3 linked regions of the Canis lupus familiaris genome follow. The protein of the gene in region 2 purifies or fractionates together with the protein of the main gene of each other region. This does not show direct contact. Links are inferred from orthologs where the notes say so. Each region holds a gene or a part of one and is shown on either strand. Other genes may lie near its edges.

Region 1 (3,647 bases), on a different chromosome or scaffold from region 2:
AGGGTGATAAAACAGGAAGGATTAGAAAAAGAGAACAAGAAGGTCAAAGGAAAATAAGATAGGATTAGCTGAATAATCCTTATTACTATTTTAGGAACTGAGGCTAAGATAATAGACCTGGGAGGGACCTGCTGTGTTTAACTTGAAAGGCAAAAAAAAAAAAAAAACCCTCCTCCACCCATCAGAAACAAACAAGTATACAAAACCAAAATCAAAACAAAACCCTGGTTTATTGGTTAAGAAAGTAGTGGATATTAAGTTTTATAAGGTATTAATTTGTATAGTATATGTAACATTTTTCTATAAATCTAATTTTAACATCCAAAAATAATCTAGGCACCCAATTATATAGGTATGGTATCTTTATCTCTACCATGGGTTAGGAACAAAAAACCTAGGGAAGTTCTAGTGGAATTGAAAAGAAATTTTTTTCTTCTGTGTGGTTTGCTTTAGGAACTTTATAATCTCATCTCATCTGTTATTTCCATCAAAGGACTATTTATTAAAGATCTATTTTTTGCCAGACCGTATGTTAAGTTCTGCCTTTAACATCCATAGCTCTTATGAGCTTATCTTAGTAGCAGAGAGAAACACATATTCAGACAACTAAACTATGATACCGCAGGGCAAGAAGTGCTATAATTCAGTTAAATTAAACTGAGTAGAAGGAAGGAAGCATTAAATTTCCATTTGTAGGGAATACATTTGAGACAAGGGGATAGAGCGAGGGACAATACAGAGAAATTTCATGGAAAAAATTATAGTAGAATCAAGCATATGAAAATGAACAAAAGTTTCTCCAGGTACATCAAAGAATATTACAGTTAGAAATATATATGTAGTGCTTGCTTTGGCAGCACACATACTAAAAATTAGAAATATATATTTATATATAAGCAGAAGTCCATGAGGATATAAAAGAACGTAAGTTTGGAGAACAGCATGATATAATGTGACCTACACCTGTTGTGGAGGCCACAAGTATTATATCAAGGAGTATGATTTTATTTTATAAGAATTAGGGAACCGGGATCCCTGGGTGGCGCAGCGGTTTGGTGCCTGCCTTTGGCCCAGGGCGCGATCCTGGAGACCCGGGATCGAATCCCACGTCAGGCTCCCGGTGCATGGAGCCTGCTTCTCCCTCTGCCTGTGTCTCTGCCTCTCTCTCTCTCACTGTGTGCCTATCATAAATAAATAAACTTAAAAAAAAAAAAAAAGAATTAGGGAACCCTCAGAATTTTTAAGCAGGATAATACAGTCATATTTACTCTTTAGGAATAACACTGGTAATTTAGAAGATGGTCTGGGAGCAGTTGATTCAGATGCCCAAGCAAGAGATAGGACAGCAGTCTCACCATCGTCATCATCATCATCATCATCATCATTTTAAGGGGCCCGAGAGATTATATAATACACTCTAAACTGCTCTGTGGAGTCCTAGGATGTGTAAGGAGCCTCATAGTAAGAGTAGGGATTGGGGTATATATAGTACTTTGGGCCCTTACACTCCACTTAAACTGATGACCTTCTGATTTTATTTGATGTACATACTGGGTCTTCTGAATATAATTATTGCTGAAATAAAAAGAATACTAAAGCTAAAAAGACATTTGAAAATCACTGAGTAACCTAACTTCTTTCCAATACCTCTCAGACATGTAGTTATATAATTCCTTCCAGAATGCCAGAGAGCTCACGCTCATAAGAGGAAGTCAGTTCTGTTATTGGATAGTTTCTGATATTGGATAGTTGATATAGAGTTCTATCCTGGAAGTTAGGGAATATTATTTGTCCTAAGGTCATTATCTGTACTCAGTAAACATTGTAGCATTAACTTCCAAATTCTAAGTATCCACAACAACTTCCAGTTCCCCTGTTTTTCTTGTAACTGGGAGGAGTTTAAATATGTGTATACCAGGGGCTGCTGGGTGGCTTAATCAGTTAAGCATCTGCCTTTGTCTCAGGTCATGATCCTGGGATTGAGCCCCACATTGGGCTCCCAGCTCTGTGGGGAGTCACTTCTCCCTCTCCCTGCTTATGTTCTCTGTCTCTCTCAAATATGTAAAATCTAAAAAAACAAAAAAAATACATACGCACACACACACGCACAGTTGTTTTCATACATAATCAAAAGATAGATGGAGTCACAACTCTGTTTTCAAGAAAAAGTCGTAGGTATTAAGATATTTTACTGAATTATAAACAATTATAATAAACATGTTTAGATACTCCTTTTGGAATATAATTCTAATAATGGGACATTGTTTGCTTTCTGATTCTAAGCATTTGTGGTTTGAAGTTGATTTTTTGACTTAGCTAGCCTCAAAGGGCTTAGGCTAGAATATTTTCAAAAGTTTGTAAAGCACTGAAAGTCTGCTTCAAGTTGTTGGGGGTATTGTTATTTTACAGACAACTTTTTCTTGTTTTTTTGTCTCTCCAGCTACATTATTGAGCAGGGAGTTTGTTATTTGGTTTTGTGTGAAGCTGCCTTCCCTAAGAAATTGGCTTTTGCCTACCTGGAAGATTTGCACTCAGAGTTTGATGAACAGCATGGGAAGAAGGTGCCCACTGTGTCTAGGCCCTATTCCTTTATTGAGTTCGGTAAGTTTTTGCTCTTTATATCAAGAGAGCAAACGATAAGAAGAAGCTGTTTGTTACATTGATAATAATTTTGTCACTTTTTTTCCCTGATGTTTTCTTACTGAAGTTTTGGATTCTGTCTCTTCCATTTCATCTCTTTTTGTCTTTTGAATGAATGAGACTTTTTCTCCTAAGTAATTTTCTCTGGTCTTTTGATTTTCTTAGAACTTGTTGCCATTTGATCTTTTTTATGATTGATTTGATTAGTCATCAGAACTATTCCCAAAGATCTGCTTGACTGGTGTATAGTAGCTGAGCCCACCCCCTGCCCTGCCCAGTAAGGTTCATTTTCTGGAGATCAGAATTTGGAAATCAGAAAGAAGGTATTTTGTTTCTTGTAGATCCTCTAATTAAAAAAAAAAACAAAAACAAAACTGGAAGAGGTATGGTATTACGGGTGGATAACATTTATTACATGCAGAAATAGTGAGCGTGGATGTCCATCCATGTATGTACAATAATTACGGAAAGATTCATCATCAGTAAAGCATCTAATGTTAAGAAATCAAAGGAAATGTCTTGGGTACCCTAAGTAGAGAAGTGAGAGTATGTATGATTAGACTACATTACTGATATTTTTAGTTAAAAAAGAAATGCATTTTACTGTATCCGAATTTCTGAAGTGTTTCCAGTTTGCTTGATAAATGGTCATCTTACTTTTAGAAATAAAATTTAGCAAAATACTCCAGTGTTTCATAATAAACTCTTCAAGTGCCAATTTTTATAATGTCTGCTTTTTCAGGTTTTATTTTTAAAGATAATAAGGGTCCAGTAAACCCAAGAAAAAAAATAAAATAAGACTACTATATCAAGATCACACAGGGAATAGTTGGTACACTCAAATTAGCTTAAAGAATTATATACAAAGATGAATGGGGTATAGGTGAACTACAAGGTACTGTAATCTGAGATCAGTAACAGTGTAATTGTTTTCATCCCTAGGCCTGAGGGGATAAGAGAAAGGAGCAGTTTCTAGAACTGCAAAGGAGAAAAAGGAGAGGGCCAAC
Region 2 (3,747 bases):
TTTAGAACTCAGATTTGAACATGGGTAGACCAAGGTTCAAATCTTGACTCCACCATTTATCAGCTGGGAGGTTTGGGGTAAGTGCCTTAAACCATTCTGAATCTCTTTTCCTTTTGTATAAGATGAAGAAAATCCACACACCTATTCTTGTTGGTAAGATCACACAACATAGGACTATAGAGTATTTTAGTCAGATACCCCATACGTTGTAAGCCCTAAATAAGTGATAAGCACTATTGCCATTCTATTCCTCCAATCAGGAAATCAAAGAGGATAACTAGAAAGCTCTTGGAGATCATACGGAAGAGCGGCTGTTAAGTGCTGAGCAATAAAAATATCTAAAATTACTAAAGTAATTATCTATTATCTAAAGTCACTCAGGTCCCACTTTGATTAGGACGTCTGGACTGAAAAAAGGGAATCTAATTAAAAAAAAAAAAAAGCACTCTAAAGTAATTTTGATAAAAATTACTTATTGAGAAAGCTCTTTTCATTCTATAGATATAAAAACCGAGGCCCAGGGGTGCCTGGTGGCTCAGTTGGCTAAGCCTCTGACTCCTGCTCTCAGTTCCAGTCTTGATCTCCAGGTCAGGAGTTCAAGCCTTGTGTTGGGCTCGGCACTGGACAGGAGCCTACTTTAAAACAAACAAACAAACAAAACCCCACACACCCAAAAAACCCTGAGGCCCAACTAGACTAACTTCCCTGTGGCCACAGAGCAAACTTATGATGGGACTATTCCAGAACTAGAATTCAAAGTGTCTGTCTCTGAGCTAAAGGCTCTCTCTAGAACCTCTTTCTTATCCAAATCAAATATACCGCAGCCACCTTTCATCCTGAGATACTCCTTCCAGAGTAGCAAGGCTACCCTCTGGGGTAATTTCTCACAAAACAGCGTAAGTCCTTGCTCCTAGACAGCTGATCCACCCCTTTTCTGTTGCTTAGTAGATCCTACTGCCCCCTCTAAGCCAGATCAGTTCTCCATCATGTCAATCAACAGTGCTGGAGCACAGCCTCTCCTAGATTTCAGTAAGGCTCACTCCTGCCTTTCCCACTCCTGGTCCTTACCTGACGGCTCTGCAGGGACTTGCAGGCAGACAGGAACTCCTGGGTCCGATCTCGGCAGGACATGGTGTTGGGAGGGGGAGGGACCAGGGCCACTGGGGGGGGCAGAGGGGCGATGTCGCTGCTGCTACTGCCAGCAGTTGCAGGGGACAGGACCTGTGTCTTTGAGAGACCCAGGTAGACACCCTGATCCGTGTTCTTAGACCCGTAGCGTTTCCGCGGGATCATTGAGACGCATAACCTCGGACTGTTGTGGAGGGCAGAGTGTCATTCCCCAGGTGGCCTCCTTCCCCACAAATCCCCCGTCCCCACCGCAAATCCTTGGGCCCCTTCTGCACTTGGCACGGACTTTCGCGCCCAAAAGCCACCCGCAAATTCTGGGCCCGGCCCACGGCGGCGGGCAGGGCCCCGCTCTCTGGCCCAGCCGGTCCAGCTCCTCAGACTCTTCCAACTTGGCTCGGGCGGCCAGAGCGCGGGGCCGGGGGCCTTGAAGCCGAGACGGGGCCAGAGGCAGGTCCCGGGGCCCCGAGGCTCCAGCCCGCCCTGTGCAACTGCCCTAGGTCCTAACCGGGCCCTCTCGTATCCGCAGATCCCTTCGACTCCTCAGGGAGAAACGGTGACCGGCCTCCTGAGGGGGACACACTTCGGTAGGCGGAGGGGGGGGAAATCTCTGGGTGTTTATTTGAAACAGGAAGTTCCTCCCCCGCCCAAGTCCCGCCTCCTGGGGGACTGCAACCAGTGATTGGCTAATGCCGACGTCTTTCTCAACAGGGGCTTTCCTGATTGGACGGCGAAGTATTCCCTCACCCCGAGCCCGGCCGGCAAGACTAGCCCGCTCGCCCCAGGTTCCCTTCCCCCTTCACGTCACCGCCCCCGGAAAGCCGCTGCCCGGAGCGGACACGGCAGCCAGGCCCCTTCTGGAGCGAGTCCTACCTCCTCTCTGCCGCCTGCCGCCGCCACCACTGCCACAGTCTCCTGGGTGGTCACCGCCTCCTCCCCGAGCGCCGAATCCGCCGAAATCCGACCAAAGACTAGGAGCCGCCACGTCACCCACACGTAGCCCCACCCCCGGTGACGGGAGGGCGGCGCTACGCCTCTCGGAGCCCGGCGACCGAGAGACACGCCCTCCCACCAAACGCCGGAGCGACTCCGCCCTCCCATTGGCTAGGCCGCCCGCGACCCCGCCCCCGAGGAGCCAGGGCCGGAGCCCAGGGGGCTGGGCCAATCTCAGCAGAGGAGCCTTAAAGAGCCCGCAGCCCCTGCGGTGCCCAAAAGCCATCCGCAAAACGGGCAGCAGGGGCGCTTGTACTGGGCAGGTACACGTTAGAAACTTTATTCTCTGGAGGCTGGGGCAGACTGAGAGCAGGGCTGGGGTCACCCCTTCTCCGGCTCCTCCAGGATCCCCTCCTGGTTGCTCTCCTGCAATCCCTGCTTTTGACTCTGGGCGGATTGTCTCTTGCTTGAGCCCCGACGGCTGAACAGGGATAGCCGCCGCCACAGCACAGTGATCAGGAGGCTTTCATTCGACCTCTGATTCCGGTGGTCGGGCGGGCCCATGTGGACCTCTTCAGAGCCTGCGGAGATGATAAAGCCGCTGAGCTCTGCTTTGCCCTCCGGGGTTCAACCTCCTGGGCGGTCCTGTCAGAGCAACCCCTTCTCCCGTTCCCTGGGGCCCGTTGGTGTGTCTTGGGTCCCACCTTCGACTTCCTCCGAGGCCGGCTCATCCGTCTGGAAGTCCTTGTCTTGGCAGCAGCCCATGGCCCCGAGCGGCCCCCAACTCCGTGCCACCCACGCCAACCCACCAGGCTCCCGGGCCTGGCTTTTGTGACGTCAGATATCCTACTGCACCAGTGTAGGGAGCAGCCACCCCTCTTTCCTTTCTCCCATCACAAAAGGCTCAGGGTCATGGCGGGTGTTGAGCTGTTTATTTACAAAGTGAGCATAGGCTCTTCAGGCGCTGGTGGACCCAGGCCGCTGCTTTTTTCTCCGTCTGGTTTGGAGAGCCCCTTGGGTCTGCTCCGAATCAGGGAGCGTCCGCTTGGCAGCTGCCTCCAAGGAGGCCCAAAGTTCATCTGTCTCTGTGTCTTCCGGTGGTGCCTTTTTGGCCTCTTGGGGCTCATCCTGGCAGGGGGAGAAAGGTTAGAGGAGTCAGGGACACAGAAACAGATACACAGGGAAGAAGGATCCAGCTGGGAAATAATCGCTTTTATTTCCTGCTGCCAGACACTATTCCCATCCATGCTATGTCAACCCTCGGCAGTAACCCTATCAGGAATATAACTATTAACACTCCTCAGAGAACTTCAGTAACTTGGCAGACAAGGAGACAGTTCCAGCCACTGTTTTTTTTTTTTTCTCTCCCCAGGGAAATGCTCACACCTGTGTCCTTACTCCCACAGACCAGCTGCTTACCTCCCAGTTATCCCTGCCTGACAGAAGAAGGCAGTTCAGTTGAGACTTGAGATAAACCTACAAAAGATCAGGAGCCTTAGGGAGGCAAGCACACTGAAACAAAAACCTGGATGGGGACACACGAGGCAACCAGCTCTCACCTTATGCTCCAGGCCCCGTGGATTCTGGATCCTGTGTATCCTCAAGACTCTGTCCAAGCCACAGGAGGCTAGGAGGGGCTTTGAAGGGTGGCACTGTAATCCTCGGACACTGCCCGCCAGCCCCTTCAGA
Region 3 (3,603 bases), on a different chromosome or scaffold from region 2:
AAGACTCTCACAGCTCATTCTCAGTCCTAAGCCCCAAAACTACATCATTAGAGCTCGATGCCTGCAGCCCCCCCACCAGTTTCTATGTAATGTGCTTCCTGGTGCCACCCAGGCTGGCATCCGACCCTGGGACACAGTGCTGAGCATGAGGACCAAGCCTGAGTCAGCAGGAGTTTCACGTCGAGCAGGGTTTTTCCGGGCACCTTTGTGGAGCTATCTACCCACTTAAGGTTCATTAGCTGCTGGGCACTGGCATCCCACACATCCACCATCGCACCAGGAACAGGGTGGGTAGGGACAAGCTCTTGGTCCTGAGGGCTCATATGCCTGGCAGTCAGGGAGTCATGGGTGCTGGCTAAGACCATGCAGGGGCGTCCAGGAGGCCTGTTCCTGGGGCACTTGCACGGGAGCCAAGCAGGAAAGGAAGAGGCCACGAGACCCTGAGGCTGTGCCAGGGAGTGTGCACTGGACCCCACAGCTTTCCTGAGGGCTACTGATGGACGGTAAGCAGAAGAGCCACAGAGGGGTGGCTACGGTGCAGACACACTGGGCAAATGTGAAAAGACGGCTCCAAGTGAAAGGGGGGTGGGGGGAGAAAGGAAGTGGGGGGGAGGGAGAGAGGTGGGGGAGGGGAGGGACGGAAGCTAAAGCAGCAGCTACAGACCAGCAGAGTGCTCAGGTACGACAGGGGGCTCCCACTCTCCTCAGGCCTGAGGACCCTAGGTCTGTGTTTAGTGAGTAGGGGCGGCTTCTCCCGCCCCCACAGCCCACACCCTGTGAGGGAGGCAGCAGGAATGGCAGGGAAGCAGAGCCACGGATCAGAAACCATCACGACTGGTAACCGCCCAGAACAGGGAGAGATCAGGGGCCACAACAAGGTCTCGGCTGAGGCCCTTGGGCAACAGGTGTTGAACTCAGATGGGTGCAAGCAGCACAGACCTGGAGGCGTCTAGGTGGTCTGGCTCTGAGGCCTCGGACACTCAGGAAGAGGTGGGCACCACCCCTCTCAGCCTAGCGCTGGCATGAGGGCTCCCCCAAGCCCAGACTGTGTGCCCAGTGGCTGGCTGAGATTTCCACCCCCACTCCTGGCTCTAGGATGCGCTCGCCCCTGCTCCTGCTCACCAGAATGATTTTGGTCTCGTCCAGCTCAGCCTGCACTTTAGTCATGGGGTCAGCTTCTCGGGGGTTCTAGGAAAGAGCCAAAAGTAACATCAGGAGGAGAGTGACCACCTGGAGACAAAGCTCAAACCAAACAAACCGGACATGTGGCCACGTTCACAGACCACAGGCTGCTCAAACACATGGCAGAGAAGGGAAAGCCCATCACGGAGCTCGGTTCCAGGTCTTACGTGCATCCCTGCATGTTTCACAGCGACACCGACACTAAGGCTGCCAGGAAGTTCCCCCACAGCCATGACCTCCAGGGCTGCTGGCTTTGCTGTACCACACAGCCTCTCCTGGAGGCTTCTGTACACCCTACCTGGTATCGACTCAGGTGGCCATCTAGGGCGGTGTAGTGGATGCTGGCAGGGGACCCGATAGGCCACTCTATCCTGTCCACCTGCTTGGAGAATTCGTCTAGAACCTGCAGGACAAAGGGACACATCAGTATCCGCGAGACCTGAAGAACACCTTGCTCAAGAGAGGCAGTCAGGGCCATGGGTGGAGGGAAGAGGAGGATGGCTCATGGCCAGGGGCAAATCTAAGTTCAAGTATTTAAAATCTATGGAAATTGGGACGCCTGGATGGCTCAGCAGTTGAGCATCTGCCTTTGGCTCAGGCCCTGATCCTGGGATCCAGGACTGAGTCCCACATTGGGCTCCTTGTGGGGAGCCTGCTTCTCCTTCAGCCTATGTTCTCTGTGACTCTCTCTCTCTCTCTCTTTCTCTCATGAATAAATAAAATCTTTAAAAAAATAAAAATAAAAAATAAAATCTCTGGAAATTAAGCACCAAGTATATCTAAACTGAAATGAACCTTGTCTGGAAAATAAAAGTATCAAAATTTTAAGCTACATATTTCCCCTTTTATTAGGTCACATGATTCTAGAAAAGAAAGTACTGGCCCTCTCATTTCCCAGAACAATTCTTCAAAAATGGAGCAAGATTTTTTGGATTTAAGCAACCAGCAGATTTCATGTGCTTATGGGTGTCAGTGCTTGGGGGCAGCAGGGGCCAGCATCCTCGAGGGGTTTATGACAAGCACCCCTCAAAGAACTGAAGAGCATGGAGGCACTAAGCCCCGTGCTGGTGCTGGTGCCGGCCCCATGTGGGGGACAGGAACACCCGGGGTGTGCAGGGATGACCTGACGGAGGGTGGTCGCCACAAGACAGAGCACAGCGTTGGCTGTGGCTCGGAGGGCAGAAGCAGAACAGTGGCCAGAGCAGCAGCCAGGGCTGAAAGTGCAGCCACAGGTGACCCGAGGGCCTGTCCCAGACACAAGCAGGATGAGGGGCAGAAATCAGAGCCAGTGAAGGAAATGGGGAAGGGATCCCAGACCGTCTCCTGGTTTAGGGCAAGAAAAAAACTGAAAATAGGTTGATTTTAGACACACTAATACACTACTCCCTCCCTTATACCTCGCGCTCTGCCCACACCTGTCCATCCAAGGCCCGCTTGGCCACAGCGCAAACTCACCTTCTCCAGCAAGGTAAAGGCCACCCGGGATGGATATTCGCTGTCAGCAATGACCACTCCTGCCAGACTGTCGTTTCGCACATAGACGTGGCACAGGTATTCTAAGGAGAGGATAGACACGCGGAAGGGGAAGTGAGAGTTTTGGCCATTTCACCCTGATCATCAAAGTGTCACAATGCTGAGCTCTTGCCCTGTGGGTCAGCGAGACTCACACAGGACAGCACGGGAGGGAGTGCTGCCACCAGCACGGCCCAACAACCGCTTCAGACAAGTCAATGCCCAGAGACCCTGTGTGCAAAGCCAGGGTGTAAAGGAGCCCCAGGGGTGCAGGAAACCTCCCAGGGGATGCAATTCCAGGCACATTTCCCAGTTAGATCCTGGAGCCCCAGCAAGGCTCAGCTCTGTCTAGGGGGTTGCACCTCTGATGCTCTGGCCTGTTCTCGAGCCAAGGAGACCCCAGACGAGTACAAAATGAGAGTGGCCTGGCCTCGCATCAGGAAATCGGGACATCAGGTTTCCTTCTTACAGCAATCCTGGCCCGTCCCCTGCTGTGGTGGGCTGGGGAGGTGAGGGAGGGAGAGAACAAGGAAAAAGAGAGGAGAGAAGGTCCATCTGCAAACAAATGTTCTCCAGCATTGCTGTGTGAAAGTCACTGAGTTATCTAAAGGCAGAGAGTGTATGAGTGCTTCTGAAAAACAGTCACCATTCCTGCTATGAATTTTTGTCCCTTTCAAAATAATCCAGACAGGATACAGCTAATCGTTCCCTCATGGAAAAAAGAACCTAAGGATTACACCTAACAAATAAGAACCTTCTTGTTCGGACAACACTCACGCAGAAGAGCCTGATGCTAAAGCTGGAGAAACGGGGAGATGGAGAGACCGCGAGCTCATGTCAGACTAGGGCAGCGATGGACAAAAGCAGGGCCACCGCTGCCCTCTGGACTCTGTCTACGATCCCAAGCAA

The links.
Region 1: the proteins of STX5 (region 2) and SEC22B purify together in Homo sapiens (co-immunoprecipitation; 4 studies listed by BioGRID and IntAct, counting the BioPlex papers as one, with this or other methods). This does not show direct contact. The link is inferred for Canis lupus familiaris from reciprocal best matches to the Homo sapiens genes STX5 and SEC22B.
Region 3: the proteins of STX5 (region 2) and YKT6 purify together in Homo sapiens (affinity purification with mass spectrometry; 3 studies listed by BioGRID and IntAct, with this or other methods). This does not show direct contact. The link is inferred for Canis lupus familiaris from reciprocal best matches to the Homo sapiens genes STX5 and YKT6.

The regions. Positions count from the first base shown.
Region 1 is NC_049238.1:57,690,938-57,694,584, reverse strand, and holds part of SEC22B (vesicle-trafficking protein SEC22b), read left to right. Parts: intron 1-2,440; coding exon 2,441-2,601; intron 2,602-3,647. UniProt on the Homo sapiens protein: SNARE involved in targeting and fusion of ER-derived transport vesicles with the Golgi complex as well as Golgi-derived retrograde transport vesicles with the ER.
Region 2 is NC_049239.1:54,380,731-54,384,477, reverse strand, and holds the start of STX5 (syntaxin-5), read right to left. Parts: upstream 2,242-3,747; 5' UTR 2,227-2,241; coding exon 1,999-2,226; intron 1,789-1,998; exon of another isoform or gene 1,634-1,788; intron 1,313-1,633; exon of another isoform or gene 1,294-1,312; coding exon of another isoform or gene 1,069-1,293; intron 1-1,068. Other genes in the region: testis-expressed protein 54-like, read right to left, coding at 2,440-2,639, 2,763-2,823; WDR74 (WD repeat-containing protein 74), read right to left, coding at 3,016-3,186, 3,478-3,534, 3,618-3,747. UniProt on the Homo sapiens protein: Mediates endoplasmic reticulum to Golgi transport.
Region 3 is NC_049237.1:14,335,982-14,339,584, forward strand, and holds part of YKT6 (synaptobrevin homolog YKT6), read right to left. Parts: intron 2,739-3,603; coding exon 2,638-2,738; intron 1,586-2,637; coding exon 1,481-1,585; intron 1,189-1,480; coding exon 1,123-1,188; intron 1-1,122. UniProt on the Homo sapiens protein: Vesicular soluble NSF attachment protein receptor (v-SNARE) mediating vesicle docking and fusion to a specific acceptor cellular compartment. Functions in endoplasmic reticulum to Golgi transport; as part of a SNARE complex composed of GOSR1, GOSR2 and STX5.